Notamacropus eugenii: one gene and its partner. The protein of the gene in region 1 binds, or shares a complex with, the protein of each later gene. Links are inferred from orthologs where the notes say so. Each region holds a gene or a part of one and is shown in the gene's direction. Other genes may lie near its edges. The genes, in order: HSP90AB1 and FKBP4.

Region 1 (11,896 bases):
AAGTCCCAGACAAGGATTGCCATCTATGGTGCAGGGAGTACCTATACCAGGCTCTCCAGCAGATGAAATTACTGACCCTTCAGTCATTCCTATATTACAGTATAACTGTTGATATTAATTCTGGTAGAACCATTAAAAAATAAATAAGAAGCTGGTTGTGGCATTCCATATTTGTAATTGTCAGCTCAGAAGTTCTAAGCTGCACTTGGCTAAGTCAATCAGGCATAAATATGATATGCCCTTGGGAATGGGGAGCCACCCATGTTGTTTAAGGAGAAAAAAAAGGAAGGAGGGAGGGAAGGAAGGAAGAAAGAGAAGGGGGAAGTAAGAGGGGAGGGAGGGAGAAAGGAAAGGGAGAAGAAAGAATGAGGAAGGAAAGAAGGTAAGGAGGGAAGGAGAAAGGAAGGAAGGAACAGCAAGGAAGATCGCTCTTAATATACAGAATACCTTGTAGGCAGAATACGTTATCATGATTCTCCTCATCATACCCCTTCCCCTTCACCCTCCAATAGATTATCAGCTACTACAGGGTAGGGATTGTTTTTTGCTTGTATAACAGCATCTGGTACTATGTCTTATACAATAATAATAGAATATTATTGCTCCATAGCAAATGACAAAAATGAGGAATTCAGAGAAGCACAGGAAGCCATATATGAACACATAATACAAAGCAAAGTAGGCAGAACCAGGAAAATGATTTTCCCAATAATTGCAGCAATGTAAATGGAATTGACAATAAAAACTAAACACTGGAAAATTATAATGACCATGATTGACCCCAGAGAAGAGAAAAATGTATCTCCCTTTTGCTGAGGTGGTGAATTTATGTATGTGAGGTGTTTCATTTGCTGTTCAAGGTCTGTTGACTGGTTTTGCTGAATATTTAAAAAAAACAAAACTACATCACCAGAAAATTCTCTGGGCAGGAAATGAGGGCAAGGACATATATGGAAATCAATGTGTTATTTAAAAAAAAATATGAATTAAGCTTAAAAAACAAAGTGAGGTAATATAAAGTACACTGTAAACTTTAAAGGATTGAACAGGTTATTGTTATTATGTTTGCTTAGTCTGAAGTCTTTGAGCTAAGCAAATGACCTTTCTGACCTCTTCCTGATCAGATTATGAAAGCCCCAACTCATCCTCAAGTAATGTCAGCTCTTTTCAAACTTTTTGGTCTGAGGACCCCTTTACACTCTTAAAAATGGCTGAGGACCCTATGCAATGTGGCTAATGTGAAAATGTGTTTAATAAGAATGTATGTGCAGAATCCAATAAGATTGCACACCATCTTGGGGAGGGAGGGGGAGAAAATTTAAAACATAGGGAAGGGATTGTTGAAAATCCTAAACAAATAAATTAATTTTAAAAAAGTAACATCAAAAAAATTGCTGAGGATCCCCTAAAGAACCCCAAGAGTGGATTACCTATCAATAATTACCATATTTGAAATTTAAATGTCTCAGTAAAATTTTGAAAATATTTTTGACCCCAAAGAGCCCTAAAAACTTTTTGAAGACTCCTGAGGGTCCCTGCAACCATACTTTGAGAGCTACTGCTCTAGGGGAAGGCACTCAGCTCCATACGGAGACCTGTGCAGGGTTATACAGGGCTACGTATTGCTTTATGATAATAACAGCTAGCTTTTATGTAGTCCTTTACATTTTGCAAAGCACTTTACAAATGTTACCTCATTCGGTCCTCGTAACAGCCTTCGGAGGTAGGGGCTGTTATTCTCCCTGTCTTACAAGAAAACTGAGGTAGACAGAAGTGAAGTGACTTGCCTGACTAGGAGGAGTCAAAGGCCAAATCTGAACTCATTGTCTTCCAGACTCCAGGTCCAGTGCTCTGTCCACTGAATCAACTATCTGGGAACATCTGATTTGTTATGATCTTTACCAGTGCAGTGGGGTATGCCCAATTTGGTGAGATTACTTAGCCATCAAAGTGCCATTGAAATACTCTGGAGAGGAGAGGCCTATGAAATCATTCTCTCTTCAGCCTTGAGCCTCTCATAGGAATAACTTGAATTTGAAACTATGGTAGGGCAATTAGGGGACATGGTGAATGATGGCCCTGACTTGGAGTTGGAAAGACCTGAGGTCAAATTCTGCTCATTCATGTAACAATGGGAAAAAACCAAAACACCACACTACTACCCCCCCCCCAAAAAAAAAAAAAATCCCAAACAGCCTCAGTTTCCCCATTTGTAAAATGGAGATAATATCACCTCCCTCTCACAGATGTCAGGAGAACCAAATGAGATAATATGTCAAACACTTTGCAAATCTTAAATTGCTATATGAATGTTTATCTTTACCATCATCATCATCATTATTCTTCCTAAAGGCATGTCTACTTCTAATCAATGAAAAAAATGTTCCATTTCCATGTTCAAAATTCCAAAAATCTCTCTGATCATGTCTTGTCATTCTGTCTTTCTCTGTACCTTACCTCCCTTAATGTTGTTTTGTTCTCACAGGGACCTCTAGTTCCTTCACTTCTCAGTTCAGTCCCAGGCTAGCTGCCTTGTCCTGGCTACACTTTCTTCCCTTCTTTATCTTGACCCCTTGGTGAGCCAGCTTAACTCTACACTCAACTGCCTTGTCCTAGCCATGATCCCACCTTGCCAAATTCCTCCTCAATTCATTACTCCCAATGACTGGCCTTCTTTACTTCTATTTACTTGCAGCCAAGTGAAGCTGGAGGAAATCACTAAACTTTGCTGACTGGACCTTCACTACAGATAGGTTATCAAAGCTCAACCTTTCCGAATTGCAACAAAGCAATCAATCTACTCCTCCCTGCACAGATTCAGGAACCCAGCGTCTACAACAGGTGTTCCAAACCTTCTCACGTCTCCTATGTCCTTCCCTCACGGTCAGAGGACTGCAACTCATACTTTACTGAAAAAAATTCAGGCCATTTCCTGTGAACTCCTCATCTTGCCTCGTTGAAAATATCTTGCTCTACTAACTCCTTCACTCCAGTCACTAATGAAGAGGTAACCCTTCTCCTTGAGTCTACCCTTCTAGTCTTTCCCAACAGACTGCTGCCCCTCCTCTCACCATCCTCGCTCCTTCTTATCATCGATCTCTCTTTTCCTATCTTTCCTTTTCTTTTTTCTATCTCTTCCTTCCTCTCTCCCTGTCACCATCTCTCGCCTCTTTCATTTTCTATCTTGTCCTCTCTCCTCTCTTTTTTCTATTTCTCCTCTCCCTTTCTTCTTTTTTCTCTTCATTTCTCTCCCTTTCTTTTGCTTTCCCTCTCTCTCTTTCTCTTCCTCTTTCTTCCCCTCTCCTCTTTCTCCTCCTTCCCTATTGCCCATAAACAATACCATGTTTCCTCCATCCTTAGAAAATCTTTACTTGATCCCATCATCCCTGCTAGCTATCCTCTTGTATCTATATCTCCCCTTTATAACTGTAAAAAAGAAAAAGAAAAAGAAAAACCAAAACAAAATCCAAACCATCTACATTCATTGCTTCTGCTTTCATCCCCTCTCCTCTTACTCTGGTCTAAATCCTTGGCAATCAGGCTCCTGACTCCATCACTCAGGTAAAACTATTCTTCTCTTAGTTGACAAATATAATAATCCTTTCTCATTCCTCATCCCTCCTGACTGCCTTGAAGCATTTGACATTAATCACTTTTACTTCCTAGATATTCAATCTTTTCTGGGCTTTTGTGACCCTGCTGTCTCCTGGTTCTCTTCCTTCCTGATTATCCATCAGCATCTCCTGCTGGTTTGTCATCCATATAATGTCCGCTAATTGTGGGACTCTGCCTCTTCTCTCTCATCAGCTCCCATGGATTTGTTAGAAACATGCTTGATACTAAAAAGGTATCAAGGAAAATCTATTGCAGTAGAGTTCAGAGGAATTGAAAGCCCTGGCCAAAGCAGACTCCAATTCCCTTTTCAGGAGGAGGAGGTGCTGGATACAGAAGTGAGAGCATTTTTATACTGTCAGTTCAGGACAGATCTTCCCATCAGGAGATGGATTGGTCCATTCTCCATTAGGTCACCACCTTTACATGCCCATTATGTAACCATCCTTGGTGTGATTCCTCCTCCCAAACATGCTTCACCATAGGACCCATGACCAGAAAATGGGGGATAATTTTATGTGGGGTGTGTCTGCTTATATGCATGAGGTTCATTAAGCAAGCGCAGTGAAGAAAAGTTTTCTCCCAGTTATTCTACTTCATTTCCCTTGACTAGTTTAAGCTAGTTTTAGATTTGGTCCCCTTTTATCAAGAACTTTGTAATTTTCTGAAGGCCACCGTCTGTCTTCTGATTGGCTGAGTCCACCTGTAGTCTGCTAGCTTTCTTATTATCTTATTCCCAGTCACTTCATCAACTAGTACCTCTGTGGAAACTTAACTTTTTGCTGTCTCTCTCTCACAGTTTCAAAAATCATCTCTACAAAGATGGCTGCTAGAGCTATATATCCAGACCTAGCTTCTCTCCTGAGCTCCAGCTTCATATCAACAACTATCTTTTGAAAATCTTGAATTGGAGGTCTCATAAGTACCTGAAATTCAAAATGTTCAAAAATGAGTTCAAAGGAACTCATTATCCATTCCTCCAACCCTGAAACCTTCTCCTCTTCCAAATGTAGAAGATGCCACCATCCTCCTAATCACCCAGGCTCTCTATCTCCCTCATCTCACACATCTACTCCATGAATCCATTGCCAAGTCTTATCATTTTTACCTTCACACTTCTTGTATATATGTCCTGTTCTTTTCACTCACATAGCCACTGACCTATGGTTATCAGGCCTGTCTTTGGAAGACCTGAGAGGTCAAACCTTGCTCAGATACTTGTGTAATCCTATTATTATTATAATTACTATTAAAGCTATAATCTTCTAAACTGGTCTCTCTGCCTCCTCTCCTCCCACTCCATCCATCCCACATCCACCTGCCAAAGTCAGGTTTCTAAAGTGCAGGTTTGACCATGCTCCAGTGGCTTCCCTCCAGGAAGCCTCCAGAATCCCTGGATCTCTATGACTTCACTACCTCCAGGATAAAATATAAAGTACTTTTACTTTTAAAGCTCCTCATAAACTGGCCACTTTCTACCTTCCCAGTCTTCTTACACCTTACTTCCCTCCACAAATTCAATGATTCAGCCACACTGCCCTCCTTGCTCACACAGGAGATTGCTATTGTCCAGTCACTTTCATCATATCTGACTCTTCATGACCCTATCTGGGGTCTTCTTGGCAATGATGCTGGAGGGGTTTGCCATTTTCTTCTCCAGCTCATTTGACAGATGAGGAAACTGAGGCAAACAGAGTGAAGTGTCTGAGGCCAGACCTGATGAACCTTTCCGACCATTCCAAGCCCAGTGCTCTACCCATGCCACCACTGCACTCCGTCTCCTGGACCTGTCTGGCATTCCTGGAATGCTCTCCTCCTAACTCTTACCTTTCTGGGTTTCCTTCGGATGAAAACCTCAGCAGCACAATCCCCTAGCTGGTGGATCCCCCATTCCTAGAGCCTTCCCGGCTGAAGTCACCCTGCCTTGATACACCTGTTCATTGACCCGTTAGAGTGGCAGCTGGCTCCCTGGGGGAGAGATCGGGGTTGGCTTTTCTCCTTTCTTTGCATCCCCCACACTTGGCACCACGTCTGGCACATCTAATAGATGCGCCCTGCCTCGACTCGGTTTGAGCCCCGTACCCCGCCTTGAATTCTGCCCCACCCCCCACCTGTCTGTCGGGAGCTGGGGAACTCGCTGCACACAGACTTGTGCATCTAGGGGCAGTACAGGAGAAGCAGCCCGGGAACGTCCTTGGGGTTTCTCAGATCGTTCTCCAAAATCTCTTAATCCTGGCCCTAGCCTGCCCGCCGAGGTGGACCCCACGGGCGGGTGCCAGTGTGCGCGTGTGTGCGGTGACTCTGCAGATACCGCGCACCTCACCGCACACGGGCTGGGCCCAACGTGCGCCCTGCTTCCCCGGGCCCCTGGGGCGCCCAGGACCTTGGCAGCTTCCCCTCCATTAGCCCTCCCGGCTCAGCCCGCTGCCCCCGGCCCCCTCCCTCTGTGGGAGCCTCAGGGGTAGTGGAGGAGAAGGGGGTTGTTGGGTCGGGGTGGGGGGCGCGGGGAGGGGCTTGCTCTAATGTTCCTCCAGTGGGGATGGCCAGTCGTGGGAGGGGCACTGGATGGGACTCTGGATATTGAGGTTACAGGAAAGGGAATGGGAGAAGAGGGGGAGGGGAGGTACAAGCATGTATTATGCGCCTACTGTGTGACCGAGCGCCGGGCAAAGCACTTGACCGGGGCTGGGGTATAGAAAATGGAGCGCAGTGGGGACGCCGCAGGAGGGATGCGGGGGATGCGGGGGATGCGGGGGATGCGGGGGATGAGTCCGCGGCCGGTCCAGGCCCGCATTGGCGCCTTGGCTCGCTGCACGAAGAGCTCAGGCCCAGTGGGGGGGGAGGGAGGAGGAGGAGGGAGGGGAGGAGGTGGGGGGGCGGCGTGCGGGAGTGGGGGGGGAAGGAGAGGGGGCGGGGAATGCGACTAGACAGGCGTGGAAACTGCTGGAAATGCCGCCGCACTGCAGAAAGGCTCGGCTTCCGCCGCCGAGCTCCTTGGCAAAGAGTCCCGGAGAGCTCGCCCTTCCCCCAGCCCATTCTGCCCGTGGGCTGGAGCGGGGGGGTGGGGATGGGGAACCAGCTTGGGCTTTACTGCCCTCCTACCTTGTGGGGGCCACCTCTTTTGCGGGGAGCCCCCCCACCCTTCAGAGACATAGCTCTGCCCTGACCTCCCTGCCACTCCACGTGTACCCCTCCCAGCCGCTCAAAACCGGTTCAGAAAAAGCCCCCGGGCTGTTCTGCGCGACCCCGGTTTGTCCTCTCCCCCACGTAGGTCCCGAGGGCAGGAGAGCGAGGCTACCTCGTGGCTTAGCCCTCCTCCTCGAGGTGGGGGGGAGGGTGACACTAGCTTGGAGGGTGGCCGCTTGTCGCAGGCAAGGTCCCAGCATCTCTCCCCAAGGCAGATCGCGGCGAGGGTCTCGCGACCCCCAGCCCCGCCCCAGCCCCTGGCTCCGTCCCCGTGCGGCTGGAGAGGCTGCCCCCGCCCCTGCCCCCGTCCTGACCGTTCACCGGTTACGTCAGTGAGTCCATCGGTGAACCTTTGTTAAGCCTCGGCTGAGGGTCAGGGCCGACGGCTCGGGGAGCTTTCTGGGAGCTGGCAGGTTCACGGGTGGGAAACCACGAACCGCCAGACAAAACTCGTACGAACGGGGTGACCTTGGGCCTCAGTGACCTCATGTGTAAAATAAACGTGATCCCTAAAGAAGGTTCCTGCCTATTCCAGTAGTTTCGTTTCTATAATCTGTATGTGCGTACAATGTGGAAAGAAGGAGGGGGGGCCGGGAGAAGCTGCAGGAGAAGGCCGGCGGCGCCCTCGGAGGCTGCAGGTGCGCGGTCTGTGAGGCGGCCCCTTTAAGGCGGAGGGATTCGCCTGGGAAGCTCCGACGCTATCGGTGCGCTGCCAATATATAGGGCGGGTGGGGGCGGCCGGCAGCTTCTCTTGTGCCAAGCTCCTCACGGTGCGAGGTGTGCGTAGCCGCTGGACTCAGCCCTTCTCTGACCCGGCCTGCTTGTCTGCCATCGCTCAAGGTGACGTATTCGCTACATTCCCGTCTAATACCTCTTATCTTCCTTTTCTACTCTGCCTTTTTTCTCATATTATTACCCACAAAGGTTTTAATGCCCCCCCCCCATCCCCGCCGACCGTTCAGACTTCGGTTTTTCTGAGTAAGGCTATTCCCCTCCCCCAGCCTCTTTTCTTCTTCCTAGCCTCAGGGAGGGTTCGGGCAGGGAGTGACAGCCGCGCGGGGGCCGGTTGGTCGGCAGCAGCGTTCCCGGGGGGTTAGGGTTAGCACGTGGTGGCCGCGCCGGTCCCCACGGGACGCTGCCATGTTGGGCTCGCACCTCCACTTCCGGCGGCTACGGGGAGCGAGAGGGGCATTCGGCGCGCGTGTGGGGGAGCAGGCTGGGGTGACTCAGCACCGGGGTGGGGGGGCGAGTCCTTCGCCAGGTTTCATCTTTGCTTTTCGGTTGCATCACTGTCTCGGTCCTCTAGGTATCTTTCCGTGCTCCACTTTCCCTGGCCATCATGGCCGCATTTTTCAGTAGCGCGTTGGGGGGGGGGCCCGCGGGGCCGCGGGGGAGGTGGTTCGAGAAGGGAGGAGCAGGTTCTGGAACATTCCCGGGACTCCCTCCCCCCTCCCTTCGCGTTGGGGCCCAGATTCTTCTGGAAGCTTCTGGAGCCGCGCGCCCCGCCCAGGTGCCCGGATGCTGGGATGGCGCCGGAGCCCCCAAGCGGGGATGGCGGGGACATCGTGCCCCTTAGGCGGTGGGGTGTCTCCTCCTCCCGACCTAGAGGATCGGCCCCAGGCGGGAACTCCTCCCTCCCCGCGGTGCCGTGTTTCACTCAGCGGGGTTGCAGGCGCGGACACTGGCTCTTTGTCCGCATCCTTTGTCATCCCTTGCGCTAGACCTGGCCGTTATCCTGGTGGGCCTCCCCCTCCCCCATGCGGGGGCCGCTGCCCGTCCATTTGTTACCTAGTGTTACTCGGCACGAGGCAGGCAGGCCCCGCCCCGAGCGCTGCGCTAGGCTCCGGGGATGCTGATGCGGGCTTCACTGCTTGGCGGGTGCCTCTGGTGGAGTGGTGCTGAAGGGCTTCCATTGTAGTGTGAATTGAGGATGTTTAATGGCGGGGAAGCCTATTAATTAATTAGCGTGCCTTTTTAAACCGAGTTGGAGAGACTTCCATTGGATTTCTCTTTCTGGGGAATCTCAGCTGGGGGCTTTTTTCCCCAAAACATCAGCAGTAGACATTCTAGGCTGTTAAAAAGCAATAATGAAATCTTTAAAGGTCGTTTCTACCCCCAGATGTCAAAAGTTACTGGACTTCAGTGATTTCTGGAGAGTATAGAAGCGTTTCTCCAATATTTCAAAGTCTACAGGGCATTTGCTTTTCATCTCTGGGTCCTTGAACTGACTCAAAACAACCAAGTCTGGTGTTTGGGTTGTTTTTTGACTGCTTAATTGTTGAGTTAACTGAACCTGGCATCTGGGTAGGAGTCACTGGTTTTTCTCAGATAATTCTTGTGGGGGAGGTCAGATATTAGACTCTAGATTAACTGTACCCTTTTATGTTTAAAGATGCCTGAGGAAGTACAGCATGGAGAGGAGGAGGTGGAGACCTTTGCCTTCCAGGCAGAGATTGCCCAGCTTATGTCCTTGATTATCAACACCTTTTATTCTAATAAGGAAATCTTTCTTCGAGAGATTATTTCCAATGCCTCTGATGTAAGTGTTACTATTGATGATAATATGGTAACCTGGGGAGGGAATAGGAGGAGGGTGGTGGTCTTAATCAGGTTTTCTGTTGTCACTCCTCCCCACAGAGGGGGTTATGAGATTTTTGCATCATAGGTTGAAAGAAAGCTGTCTTGGTTAAGCAAGTCTGTGAATATCATTCTAATTGAAGAGCACAGTACAAGTAGTACAAGTAGTCGACACTCATGGTGTTTAGAAAGAGGTGGAAAGCTAGAAAACTCTGAATTATAGAGAAGATAAAGGGATAGCTAATAGAGTTGTATTCTTTCTCCTAGGCGCTGGACAAGATCCGCTATGAGAGTCTGACAGATCCTTCCAAATTGGACAGTGGTAAAGAGCTAAAGATTGACATCATCCCAAATCCTCAGGAGCGTACTCTGACTTTGGTAGACACTGGCATTGGCATGACAAAAGCTGATTTGATCAATAACTTGGGAACCATTGCCAAATCTGGCACCAAAGCTTTCATGGAGGCTTTGCAGGTATGACATCTGCATACTTGTATTTGTCACTAGGGTTCCTTGATGTGAACCTTTTTTTCCTCTGTATCTCCAATATCTCCTTGTTATTTCATGTAGGCTGGAGCAGACATATCCATGATTGGTCAATTTGGTGTGGGTTTCTATTCTGCTTACTTGGTGGCAGAGAAGGTAGTTGTTATCACCAAGCACAATGATGATGAACAGTATGCCTGGGAATCTTCTGCTGGTGGCTCTTTCACAGTCCGTGCTGACCATGGTATGTATGTAGCTTAGTTTGTCTTCACGTGGGTTAAAATTTCTTTGAATTGAAACATGTAGGTTAAGAAACTTAAGAGGCTTGTTTTGGCCTTGTTCTTATTCCAACTAATGTGACACTGGTTCTTGTTTCAGGTGAGCCTATTGGCAGGGGCACCAAGGTGATCTTACACCTGAAAGAAGACCAGACAGAGTATCTGGAAGAAAGGCGGGTCAAGGAGGTTGTAAAGAAGCACTCTCAATTCATTGGCTATCCCATCACACTTTATGTGAGTATAAACTACCACTTTGTGTATATTCTTTCTTATTCTTTCTCAACATGAGTTATGTTAGTCGTAGGGGATGACTGCTATTTTTAATTTAATCATTGAGATTACTTTTGCTTATAAGTCTATGCAGACCTAATTCAAACTGAACTGTTTGTTTTTGGCTGCCCTTAGTTGGAGAAGGAACGGGAGAAGGAGATCAGCGATGATGAGACAGAGGAAGACAAAGAGAAGGAGGAGGAAGAACCAGCCAAAGATGAGGAGAAGCCCAAGATTGAAGATGTGGGATCTGATGAAGAAGACGAAGGCAAGGACAAGAAGAAGAAAACCAAGAAGATCAAGGAGAAATACATTGATCAGGAAGAGCTGAACAAGACTAAGCCCATCTGGACACGGAACCCTGATGACATCAGCCAAGAAGAGTATGGCGAGTTTTATAAGAGCCTCACCAACGATTGGGAAGATCACTTGGCAGTAAAGGTATGAAAATCTTGAGGGCCAAAGTGTAAGAGGGGAAAGGCAATAACATTTGGTGCAGACAAGATGAAATGCAAAATGGACTTGACTGCATTAAAGAGCTGTTTTCGATTTTCTATTGGAATATTAGTAGAACTTTCAGCAGTCATACTTGACACTATGTCTTGGGTCTCTGTGAAGTGTCATCTTGCAGGGTTTTTCTCCTTGGAGAAATGTTGAACTCTAGGCAGCAGTTTTCTGAACTAAGGGTGAGAAAAATTGTTCTTTGCCTCCTTAGCATTTCTCCGTGGAAGGTCAGCTGGAATTCAGAGCTCTGCTCTTCATCCCCCGTCGGGCTCCTTTTGATCTCTTTGAAAACAAAAAGAAGAAGAACAACATTAAGCTGTACGTACGGCGTGTATTCATCATGGACAGTTGTGATGAGCTTATTCCTGAGTATCTTAGTAAGTGTTCCTATTTGCAATATTCGTTTAATGGGCTTACTATTTGCTTTGTGAAGATTCTAACATTTTAGACATGTGTAAGCAAAAACCGATTATTTTCTAACATGGTGATGGGTTATTTTTATCCTTTTTCTCCTAGATTTTATTCGAGGTGTGGTGGACTCTGAAGATTTGCCTCTCAACATTTCCAGAGAGATGCTGCAGCAGAGTAAGATCTTGAAGGTCATTCGTAAGAACATTGTCAAGAAGTGTCTAGAGCTCTTCTCTGAACTGGCAGAAGACAAAGAGAATTACAAAAAGTTTTATGAGGCCTTCTCAAAAAACCTGAAGGTGAGCACCTCTAGGTTGTTAGATAACTTTCCTTTGTAGGTTTTGGAATACTTGTCTGAAGTATGACAGAACACTGGTCTTAGCTGAGCCTATACTAACATGTATATGTGATGTCTTTTCTTTCCAAAGCTTGGAATCCATGAGGACTCAACCAACAGACGCCGTCTATCCGAACTGTTGCGTTATCATACTTCTCAGTCAGGAGATGAGATGACTTCCTTGTCTGAATATGTTTCCAGAATGAAGGAAACCCAGAAATGCATCTACTATATCACT
Region 2 (11,223 bases), on another chromosome or scaffold:
TGAGTGACTCTGTACAGTATAGCTTGCTTGTGGAATTATATGATATGAAATACAGAGTCTGTCAGATTAAAGGAATTCTCCAGATACAGGATGGGAGGAAAAATAAATAGAAAGTTAGTAAGTATCGGAGACCAGATTGGAACTCGGTTCTACCTGACTTCCAATCCAGCTGGCACTTTATCCACTGTACTTTTTTGACAATAACAAACTTAAAAAAAAAAAAAGCTATCTTCAAAGACACAAAGGTTTATTATAAAAACTGAGTGGGAATCAGGATATTTTCCCTAAGGATAAGACAAAAAGAAACTGGCTTATCTGTAACAAGAGAGATTAAAATCTGATAAAAAAAGGAAGACATGGAAAATGTGAGTCGCAGAAATATGGGGAGAGGGTGCAGAATCTTCTTTTTATAATAGTCATGTTATCAAATAACCAATCAAGCAAGCATTTATTAGATGTACCAGAGGCTGTGCTAGTCACTGGGGACACAAAGGTAAATAGGAAATAATTCCTGCTTACATTCTAAAGGGAGACAACACACAGGCAGATACAAAGTATGTGTAAACACATTTAAGATAATCCACTGCAAGTATTGTCTGACCTTATTCTCCAAGAGTTATGTCTGCTGCATCTCCCTACTACATTCAAAGAGTACTACTGATCCCCCATTCCAGTGTGTCCTCCCTATTATTAGTCACCAGTAACTAGTGTCTCAATTCTATTTATTGCTATTTTATCCTTGGTTTTCAAATGAGGAAACAGTCTGAGAAGTTAAGTGACTTGCCTAGAGTCACACAATGAGGAATTCAGGATTCAAATTCAGGTCTTCCAAGTCCAACACACTCAATCCATTGTACCACCCAGCTGTTCTATATACTGAAGTGCTAAATTGGGTAGAAAAGACTCTACATGAACAACAGAACAGATACCAGAAAGAATGAAAGGCTCTGTTATTATGAAATTGGTTATTACAAAATTAGAACAAAGCACTTCTCTTTCTAGCCTTTCCTGTCAGCAACTGTATAAATTATTGAATAAAGGTGAAAAGGTCTTCTGTTTACTAACTGTGTGGTTTTGGACAAGTCACCTTAACCCCTCTAAATTATCTTTTCATTATTTGTAAAATGGTGTTAATAAAATTTGCATGATTCTTGACCTTCCTGCCATCTTGAGGATGGTTGTCTTGAATATAAGGCCCCATGGCCCATGAGAAAGAGAGGATCCATGGTTTAGGTGTGTCTCAAAGGTACTTAAAGCTACGTGAGGTTAATGGTAGCCTTAACCCTAAGGTATATTCTAACACTAGTCATCAGTCATTTCAGTGCCAGTTTATGCTCAAGAAAAACCATTCACATAAAGGCGTCATTTCTAAAATATATAGAGAACTGAGTCAAATTTATAAGAATACAAGTCACTCCCCAATTAATAAATTGTCAAAGGATATAAACAGACAGTTTTCAGATGAAGAAATTAAAGCTATATACGATCATGAAAAAACTCTCTAAATCACTCTTGATTAGAGAAATGCAAATCAAAGCAATTCTGAGGTACCACATCACACCTATCAGATGGACTAACATGACAAAACAGGAAAATGATAAATGCTGGAGAAGATGTGGAAAAATTGGAACACTAATGTATTGGTGAAGTTGTAAACTCATTCAAACATTCTGGAGAACAGGTTGGAACTATGGCCAAAAAACTATAAAACTGTGCATACCTTTTGATCCAGCAATATCACTTCTAGGTCTGTATCCCAAAGAGATCATAAAAACGAGGAAAAGACTGACATGCACAAAAATATTTATAGAAGATCTTTTTGTGGTGGCCAAGAATTGGAAACTGAGGGAATGCCCATCAACTGAGGAATGGTTGAACAAGTTGTGGTATATGAATGTAATGGGATACTATTGTGCTATAAGAAATGATAAGCAGGCAGACTTTGGAAAAACATGGAAAGACTTCTATGAAGTGATGCTGAGTGAGGGGAGCAGAGCCCGGAGGACACTCTACATAGTAAACAGCCACACTGTGTGATGACTAACTTTGATAGACTTGGCTCTTCTCAGCAATGCAAGGATCTAAAACAACTCCAAAAGACTCACGATGGAAAAAGCCATCAACAGCCAGAGAAAGACCTCTGGAGTCTGAATGCAGATCAAAGCAGACTATCTGCTCTCTTTACTTGTTATTGTGGCTTTGTTTTTCGTTTTGCTTCTTATTATTTGCTCTTTTTTTGCTGTTGTTTCTTCTTTCTCATGGTTCTTCCCATTGGTTCCCATTGGGTCTTCTTTACAGCAAGACTAATGTGAAAATGTTTGATATGAATGTATATGTAGAGCCTATGTCAAATTGTATGCCATCTTGGGAAGCGGGGAGGGGAAGGAGGAAGGGTGAGAAAATGTAAAGCTCAAAAGCTTATGGAAGTGAATGTTAAAAACTAAAAATAAATAAATTTAAGAAAAGAAGAAAAATCATCACCAAACCTAGCAAAGCTTGTGACTAATTCATAATGACAATAATAGCTAATATGTATAGCACCTACCATGTGCCAGGCACTTTATAAATATTATATTGTTTGATCCTCCTGGGACAACAACCCTGGAATTGCTATTATATCCTCATTTTTACAGATGAGGAAACTGAGGTAAAAGTTAAGTGACTTGTCCAAGGTCTTACAGTTAGGAAGAATCTGAGGCTGGATTTGAACTCAGATCTTCCTGATTCCAGGCCCAGTAATTTGTCCACTGCACTACCTAGCTGCCCCAATGAACTTTTTCAGATCATTTTCTTTTTACATTTTTTTCAAATTCAAAAACTTAAAGATCCAGCAGGGGTGGGGAACCTATGGCTTCCAGGTCTTTACAATTTTACAAAACAAATCTTTTTTTAAGGGAATTTGTTCTGTGAAGTTTGGATTAAGTCAAAGGGCCACACTCGAGGACCTAGAGGGTCACATGTGGTCTCTGAGCCACACGTTCCCCACCCCTGCTTCAGGAGGTATGATCTAAATACACGAACTCTGAAACATTATTATTAGTTATAAATGCCTTTTCTCCCTCATCAGCTCTGCTCCCAACCAGCCTGACTTGAGTTCTACCTTCTTGTCAATCCCACTGCAAGCATTCATGGTCAGACCACCTTAGATAAGAGACAAACAGAGACAGAGATACAGACAGACAGGAGACAGAAAGGAGAGAGAGACAAAGAAAATGTGTTTTCAAATAAAAGCTTCAAACAGCACAGAAACAAGAACAAGCATCAAAAAAAAAACCTTCCAATGCATGCTGCTTTGCTTGTTATGGAGAAGGGACAAAAGGCTTTCTTCCCTCCTTCTACCAAGTCTGAGGGAAACAGGAAGTAAATGGTTCAACAGGTAAAAAGGAATTGCCTTTTGTTGCTCCATGAATGGAAGAGAAAAGATGTCGTGGGCCAAGTTTGTGTGCCTGCCTCAGGGCGTGCTAGTTCAAGGTGTACCTAAAATGTACCCTTTCTCATTGGTACCCATTCTTCAAGGTCAAGGCCTAGGCCAGAAGACTCTGGGGTGCTCTGGATAATGCCTGTCTGCCTGCCTTAGGGCATACCCTTCCAACCCACCAAATCTACATGGTAATGACTGAGCAAAGGAAGCTATGTGGCTGGAAACAAAAGCTAAAGTACTAAATTCACTAGAAATATTTTGAGGCTTCATGAAAGACTATATTTCAAAACTTTTTAACATCTTAATGACATGGATGAGGAAAATTAAACCACTGTATTATTACTGAACAGGGGAGACGTTTTGCTCTAGTGGATGAATATGAATTTATGGACTTTAAATGTTCTGCGTTAAATAATAGCCGTAGCTGGATAAGCCTTGGGAGTCTTAGCTAAGGGATACAGTCTTACCTTGGGTTCAAATGTATCCACATCAGGTCTGTCTATTTGGCCATCCCCTTATCCACAGACTACATTTGCAATGGCACATAAATGGAGATGAAACCCGTGAACAGTAAGTAAGTTAATTTGACTGGATTGTAGGGTGTGAAGTAGTTGAAGGTAGGCTGAAGCCAGACTAGGGGTTCTGTAAGACTTGGACCCACCTAAGGACCTAAAAGGCCACATGTGCCTTCAGAGCTATAGGTTCCCCGCCCCTGAGTCAAACTATGCAGTCTGTTCAATGAATGACTCCAGAGAATCTTGTTTTGCACCTCCTAACGTGCTCATCCCTGAATATATGTTTACATATCATCTCCCTACTGCAGATGAAAAGCTCCATGAGGGCAATAATGATGTTATTATTTTAATTAATAAGCAATAAATTTATCCATATGTTCATATTTCACTTTTTTCTTTCTCCAGACTTTAGTATGGTATTCTTGTAATTTTTTTTGAGTGGGGTGTAGGTGAACGTATGGTTTCATTGGCAGAAAGAACTCCCTTAGAATTGGTTATATAAAGTCTCCATTTTCTGAGGTCATTTGCCCAGAAATCATACAGGACTCGAACCCAGCCCTTCCTGACTCCAAAGATAACCTCTGTATATTAGCAACAATGTGTTTGTTGACATCAATGTTATTTTAGGTTTATTCTATAATATAGTGCACATCCTGCGTGGTCACTAAACGTTTGTGAACTATAAAACAAAAAATCCTTCCCCCTTCACTTCCCAGAATGGATGTTCGGTGTGTTTGAAACGTTTCTGCTTTTGGCGGCGGGGCTCGCCTTAGGCCGGGAAGGCAGACCCTTATTGTTGTACGAGATCCGCTGCTGGGACCCACGGAGGAGCAGGGAGGTCCGAAAGGACCGGGCGAGCTCTGCGCCAGGTGCTTCTGGAGGACTGGTCTGGAGGGGGCTGGGGAAACGGGGTTCATTCTTTCCTTTCCCGAAAAGTATGTACCTGGGCAGGTCAGCAGAGACAGAGAGACAGAGACAGACAGGCAGGCAGAGAGAGACAGAGAGAGACAGAGAGAGACAGAGAGAGAGACAGAGAGAGAGAGAGACAGAGAGAGAGAGAGAGAGACAGAGAGACAGAGAGACAGAGACAGACAGACAGAGACACAGAGACAGAGAGACAGAAAGACAGAGAGAGAGAGAGAGAGACAGACAGAGAGACAGAGAGGCAGAGAGGCAGAGAGAGAAAGAAAGAGAGACAGAGACAGAAAGAGAGACAGGCAGGCAGAGAGAGAGACACAGAGAGAGAGAGAGAGAGAGAGAGAGAGAGAGAGAGAGAGAGAGAGAGAGAATGAGAGAGAGACAGAGAGACAGAGACAGAAAGAAAGAGACAGAGACAGAAAGAAAGACAGAGACAGAGAGACAGAGAGACAGACATAGAGACAGAGAGAGAGACAGAGACAGACAGTGAGAGAGACAGACAGAGACACAGACACAGAGACAGAAAGACAGAGAGAGAGAGAGAGAGAGACAGACAGAGAGACAGAAAGAAAGGAAGAAAGAAAGAGAGAGGGAGAGGGAGAGGGAGAGGGAGAGGGAGAGGGACACAGGGAGACAGGGAGAGAGGGAGACAGGGAGAGCAGCCCGCCGCCCAGGTGCAGCTTTCCGAGCACCACCACCACCGCCCGAGCCCGCGAAGGCTGAGAGCGGCCAGGGGGCCCAGGGCCGCCCCCGGGCGCCCGCTCCCCGGCCTCTCTCGCCACGTGCCGGGAGCCGGCCTCTCCGCACAGCACAAACCGAACTGGGGCAAGGACGGGTTTTGAATGAGCTGGGGAAGGCTCCAGCCTGATCGAGAAGGATCTGGAAGAGTCCGTTTAAGCCCGGAGGAGGGAGCGCGGGAGGGGAGGGGGATGGGTGGCAGGGCGTCCGGAGAGAAGGCGTTGTTGGGTCGAGTCCAGAGAACCGAGGGTGTCGGTGGGGGTTCCCCCCTTCCCCGGCTCAGGTTGGGGGAGGGTCGGAATATCTGAATGCCCTCTGCGTGGGCGCAGGGGCCAAACCGGCGGGGCGGACGCCGCCTCTGGAAACTTCTCCTCCTCGGCCGCCCTCCCTTTCCCCTCCCCTGGCTCCTCCCAGCCCCGCCCCCGGCGGCGGCGGGTGCGGGGTGGGACCAACCTCTCCCCAGCAGCCACACGGTCCGCACTCGTAGTTGCCTGGTCCGTGCGCTCCGCTCCGCTCCGCTCCGCGCCGCACCGCACCGCACCGCACCGCGCCGCCGCTCCGCGCCGCCCCGGGCCTGGCCCCCGCAGTCGGCTCGCCGCCTCCCCGTCTTCCTCGGGAAAAGGGAGTTTCCAGAAGGAGCAAGTGAGCCGCGCGCTGCCCGGCCCCGGCCCGGCCGCGCCGCAGCCCCACTCCCACCGTGCTCGCAGCCACCCGGCCCAGGCAGACGGGGAGCGGCTTGGCTCGGCTCCCGGGCCCCAGCTTCACGACTGAAAGGAGGCTCTGTGGACGGCGATGACCGCGGAGGAGATGAAGGCGGCGGAGAGCACCGCGCAGTCGGCCCCATTGCCTTTGGAGGGGGTGGACATTACCCCCAAACGTGATGGAGGCGTGCTGAAGGTACCCGCGCGTGGCCCGCGGGGCAGGAGGCAGCCTTAGGTCGGGTCTGGGCGGGGGAAGCAGACGGGCCTGCCGCACATGCTCAGGCCTCCACGCGGGGCACGGGCTTCAGCCCACGCGGGCATTCCCCGGGCCCCGGGGGCGGGCTGCCAATGCCACCTCGCGGCGGCCGTGCCCCCCCCGGACCTGGCACAGCAGAAGCCCGCATTCCCCTCCGTCTCACGGACGGGGAAGATCTGGGGGAGGAAGGCGGGTGGGAGCCCCCAGCCGGGGTGGGAGCGCAGGCAGGACCCGAACCCATGCCGCCCGCCGCCGCTGGGCCGGCCCGGCCCCCCAGCGTGGATCCGGGGGAGAGGAGGTGGGGCCGCGATGGCCCGAGAGCCCCGGAGTGCCCGCGGGCTGCAGGCTAGCCGGGGTCGAGCCTTGAGCTCCCCTGAACCCCCTTTCCACCGAAGATGTTTCTGGAGCTTAGGAGCCGGTAGCCCGCGCTGGTGGATAAGGTGGCCGGAGCCGGCCAGGTCAGTTAAACGTTAGCCGGGCTGTCGGGGCCCTGCGGGACCGCCGTTACCCGGTCCTGGGGCCTCTCGGGACTCAGGCGGACCCAAGGGGAGCGGAGGGTGTGCGCTGCACGGCCCTCCGCCCTGGCACCCGGGTCCTGCCGCTGACCCCTCCCTCTGCGGTGTAGCCAGGATCAGGTTACCCTCCTGCCCTCTGTCACCACCCCCACCCCCGCCGAGGGAAGGGCAGGACGTGAGGTTCGGCTGCAGTTACTGAATAAAGTGGAAGAACTGATAGCCAAGCGAGGCCATTGTGCGGGCCTGAGCATCTTGACCTGGGTCGGAGCAGCCCAGGGGTGATTGGAACAGGCTTTAGAGAGGGTTGGCAGGCATCCAGCATGGCATGAAATTCAATCTTCAGGTTCCCGCTCCTCCCCCCGGGCTCCCCTCTTACCGTGTATCACCGGTCACCTAACCTTTGGAGCTGGGGACCTGACCTGAATTCTAGGATTTAGAGGTTCATGAACTGAATTTTGTCCTCTCTTTCTGGGAGGCAAATGCTCCCTTCCTCCCCCCCCCCACCACATACACACACTGAGAGAGGGACCCTCTTTCTTTCCTAAAAGGCCTTTTTTAAGAAAGGATTATTACTCCTTGCTTCCCCTTCCCTGCTTCTCTCTTCCCTAAGTCCCCTATCCAAAGAAGCTAAGATTAATTCTGTTGAGGTCTGATTCTTCTTCAGGGTAGGGGAGAAACTCCCTGGAGAGAACAATTAGGTATTTGCCTGGTGGCCCACAAGGAAATCTATCTTTTTAGAAGTTCTGGAAAGGAAATAGCAGTGTCCTGAGTCCATGGAAATGGCCCAGAACCATGGCATTGTGGAGATTTGCCGATTCTACCGCGTGGAGGTCACTCCACTCAGGTTATTTAATCTTGTCTGGGTTTTGAGGGTCTACCTCTTCACAAACAGATTGGCTCATCTTCCCTTCCAGTGTCCCAGAAATGCCCATACCTCGAAAACTTTTCCCTTTCTGTGTATGAAGGTAGGTAGAGGGAGATAGGATTCTTGAAATGAGCCCAGAAAGTTACCAGTTTATAGTTAGTTGTGGTGAGATTCCCAAAGGTACAGTGGCAAAATCTTAAGACTTCTAAACAGTCATTCAAAATTCAGAACAGAAAGACAGACTGGAACAGAAAGGCCCTAGAAAAGTCCAAGGTCATTTGTTCCAAGGCCAAGGTTATGTATGAATTGTGTTTACACCTACATCTCCATTTTATTGATAATTCATCTGCTTCCCCTCTCTTGGCACAATCCAGGCTTTTGGTTTGTTTGGTTTTTTTCCCATTCTGCTTTCTCTAGATCCTTGTCATTTTCACCTTAGGTTTATCTCTCTCAGTTCTGATTCCTTATTCCCTTTTCCTTCCTTCCAAATCAGTCCCTGTTTTCTTGTTGGCCAGACAAGTTCATAAGAGGCAGTGTGATGTAGTGGATAGAATGCTGACCTCAAAGGCAGGAAGACTTGGGATTCTTACCAAATGGGTAAGAGAACACTGGTCCTGGGGTCAAGAAGAGACCCGAGTTCAAATGCAACCTCAGATACTTATTGTCTTAGTATGAACCTGGGCAAGGCATTTAACCTCAGCCTCAGTTTCATCATAAAAATGGGGATAATCAAACACCATTCATTAAGCACCTACTCTGTGCCAGGCACTGGAAATACAAAAAAAGGTAAAAGACAGTCCCTGCCCTCTATACAGTCCAGCAGGGGAGACAACATGTAAACAAATATATACCACAGAAACTATATACAGGATAAGTAGGAAATAATGAACAGAGGGAAGGCACAGGAATTAAGAGGGGTTGAGGAAGGCTTCCTGTAGAAGGTGAGGTTTTAGTTGGGACTTCAAGGAAGCCAGGGAGGTCAGTGGTTAGAGCAGAAGAGGGAGGGTGTTCCAGTCTTGGAGGATGGCCCAGGGAAAATGCCAGAGGCAGAGAGATGGATGGAGTGTCTGATTTGTGGGACCACCAGAAGAGCTGTGTCACTGGATCAAAGAGTACCTGTCAGGGAGTAAGATACAAATGACTGCACTTCCAGGGTTACTGTGAGGAACAAATGAGAACACTGGTAAAGCACTTTGCAAACTTTAAAGTGGTATATAAAGACTGGTTGTTAATGTTATTGTTGTTGCTGTAATGTTTTTGCTGTCATTAATGCTGGAAGCAGCCTCAAAGATCATTGAGTTCAGATTCTTCATTTTATAGATGAGGAAACTGAAGCCCTAGTAGATGATAGAATTTATCCAAAACCAGACAAATAATAAGTAGGAGAGCTGAAATTTTAACCCAATCTTTTGGCTCAGGTTCCAGTCTTTGAATTATATTGTATCAGGGAAGAGGAGATCTTCCTGTGCATACACCTTCCCCTGTGAGGAGGAAGAGGTTAATTTGGGGACTGATAATAGATCCTAGCTGAGGGTCTTCTCCCCACAAGGGGTGTGACTCATAGCCTCTGATGGGAGGGACTGGTGATGAAGATGTGAATGTACTTTTCACTCGTAGGTGATCAAGCGAGAAGGGACAGGCACTGAGACTCCCATGATCGGCGACAAGGTTAGCGTACACTATACTGGCTGGCTGCTGGACGGTACCAAATTTGACTCCAGCTTGGATCGAAAGGACAAGTTCTCCTTTGACTTAGGCAAAGGTAAACTTGATGGCTAAGGAGTGTCCTGAGTTGTGGTGAGCCAGCTAGTGGTAACACTCCAGTGGTCCTCCTAGGTCCAGGCCTAGCTAGACACAGGGCAGCATTACTTGTTGCAGACTCAAGGATCTTTTTGTCCTTCTTATGTTTCCCTTTTCTTATTGTCACCTCCATTTTCTTCACTGAATTCTTCCCTCCATTTCTCCGCATCTGTGATGATTTCTATCTTAATCTTCTGGACTTTGGAGGCAGTAGAACATAGTTCTTCTCTGGCTATCTTCTTGGACAATTGGGTTAAGGGTTAAATATAAGGATTAAAAAGCAACAGTTTTTGCCCCATTTGGACTTTGGGGAGTTTATAACAGTTAGTGGGGGATGGGACTTCCTACTTACTTGGTCTCATCCAAAAGAGGGGGGGGTCAGTTTTGGCTTGTTGGGTACCTCTTAGGACAGCCTGTTGGCCTTTGACAAAACCTCAGATAAGGTGCTGGGGGGGGAACCTAATGTATTTTGTGTCTGCAGGGGAGGTAATCAAAGCCTGGGACATAGCCGTGGCCACCATGAAAATTGGAGAAGTCTGCCGCATCACCTGCAAACCAGAATATGCCTATGGCTCATCTGGCAGCCCTCCCATGATCCCCCCCAATACTACCCTGGTGTTTGAGGTGAGTGATAGGCCATGAAATAGAAAGAGTAATATCCAAAACAGAAAGAATAAGAGCCAGGCTTTATCTCCTCCTCACTGTCTGGCTGTCCTCCAGCCCGTTTGACTTGGAAACATTGTGGCTAAGGCTAAGGGCCTGGCCTAGTGGGAGGACATAAGGTGAAGCTGCCTCTTCCAAGATGGGTAGGAATTATAGCTGGGCTACTGCCGTTACCAGCCTGGGCATTCTCCTGCTTATCTCAGGAAGTGATGAGAGCGTTCAGCACATGAGTTTCTTTGTCCTTTGCCTGCCTGCTCCAAATCAGCATGCTTACTTGAGAACATCCTACCCCAAGCATGCAGCAATGTGGAGAAAGAAAAGGTCATTCCTACCCTCCCTGCTGACCACCTGGCCAGTGACTTAGAATACACACAGAGAAAAGGTAAAAACCATCCAAGGTAGCACATTTTAGAGCACAATGTCCTGACAGCCATCAGATAAAGTCTAGATCAGTAAGGGATCAATTTGCAGATAAATAGAGGACAAAGTCTGACATGAGTACAGTGATGGACTTCTTACCTTAAAAGTAGAAATAAACTTGGACAGCTTCATTACTAGGTGGGCTTCAGGGATGAATTTTTCAGCCATTGTATCTCACAGATAGTACTACCATTTGAGGGTTTGTGAAGGAGTCACCTACCCTGTTGATTTCAGTGATCTCTAGATTAGACATTTTAAGACCTATCACATAGGTCCTAATCAGGGAGCTAGAAGGGATTAGAAAAGTGTGCTCTCTTTTGATGAACTAGATCTAGATAGTTGGAGACCAACACTGATGTTGACTAAAATCAGATAGTCATGCTTGGATATTGAGCCAGGTTGATGAGGAAA

The links.
Region 2: the proteins of HSP90AB1 (region 1) and FKBP4 are in contact, whole or in part, in a crystal structure (PDB 1QZ2), measured with the Homo sapiens proteins. The link is inferred for Notamacropus eugenii from reciprocal best matches to the Homo sapiens genes HSP90AB1 and FKBP4. Residues at the interface, in NP_001258898.1 of Homo sapiens: Met720, Glu721, Glu722, Asp724; in NP_002005.1 of Homo sapiens: Lys282, Asn324, Met327, Lys354, Arg358, Lys387.

The regions. Positions count from the first base shown.
Region 1 is NC_092873.1:107,730,735-107,742,630, forward strand, and holds the start of HSP90AB1 (heat shock protein HSP 90-beta), read left to right. Parts: upstream 1-6,937; 5' UTR 6,938-7,638; intron 7,639-9,190; coding exon 9,191-9,337; intron 9,338-9,642; coding exon 9,643-9,849; intron 9,850-9,945; coding exon 9,946-10,105; intron 10,106-10,239; coding exon 10,240-10,373; intron 10,374-10,544; coding exon 10,545-10,850; intron 10,851-11,124; coding exon 11,125-11,290; intron 11,291-11,429; coding exon 11,430-11,620; intron 11,621-11,749; coding exon 11,750-11,896. UniProt on the Homo sapiens protein: Molecular chaperone that promotes the maturation, structural maintenance and proper regulation of specific target proteins involved for instance in cell cycle control and signal transduction. Undergoes a functional cycle linked to its ATPase activity.
Region 2 is NC_092874.1:203,104,214-203,115,436, reverse strand, and holds the start of FKBP4 (peptidyl-prolyl cis-trans isomerase FKBP4), read left to right. Parts: upstream 1-6,025; 5' UTR 6,026-6,384; coding exon 6,385-6,489; intron 6,490-9,546; coding exon 9,547-9,691; intron 9,692-10,210; coding exon 10,211-10,353; intron 10,354-11,223. UniProt on the Homo sapiens protein: Immunophilin protein with PPIase and co-chaperone activities. Component of steroid receptors heterocomplexes through interaction with heat-shock protein 90 (HSP90).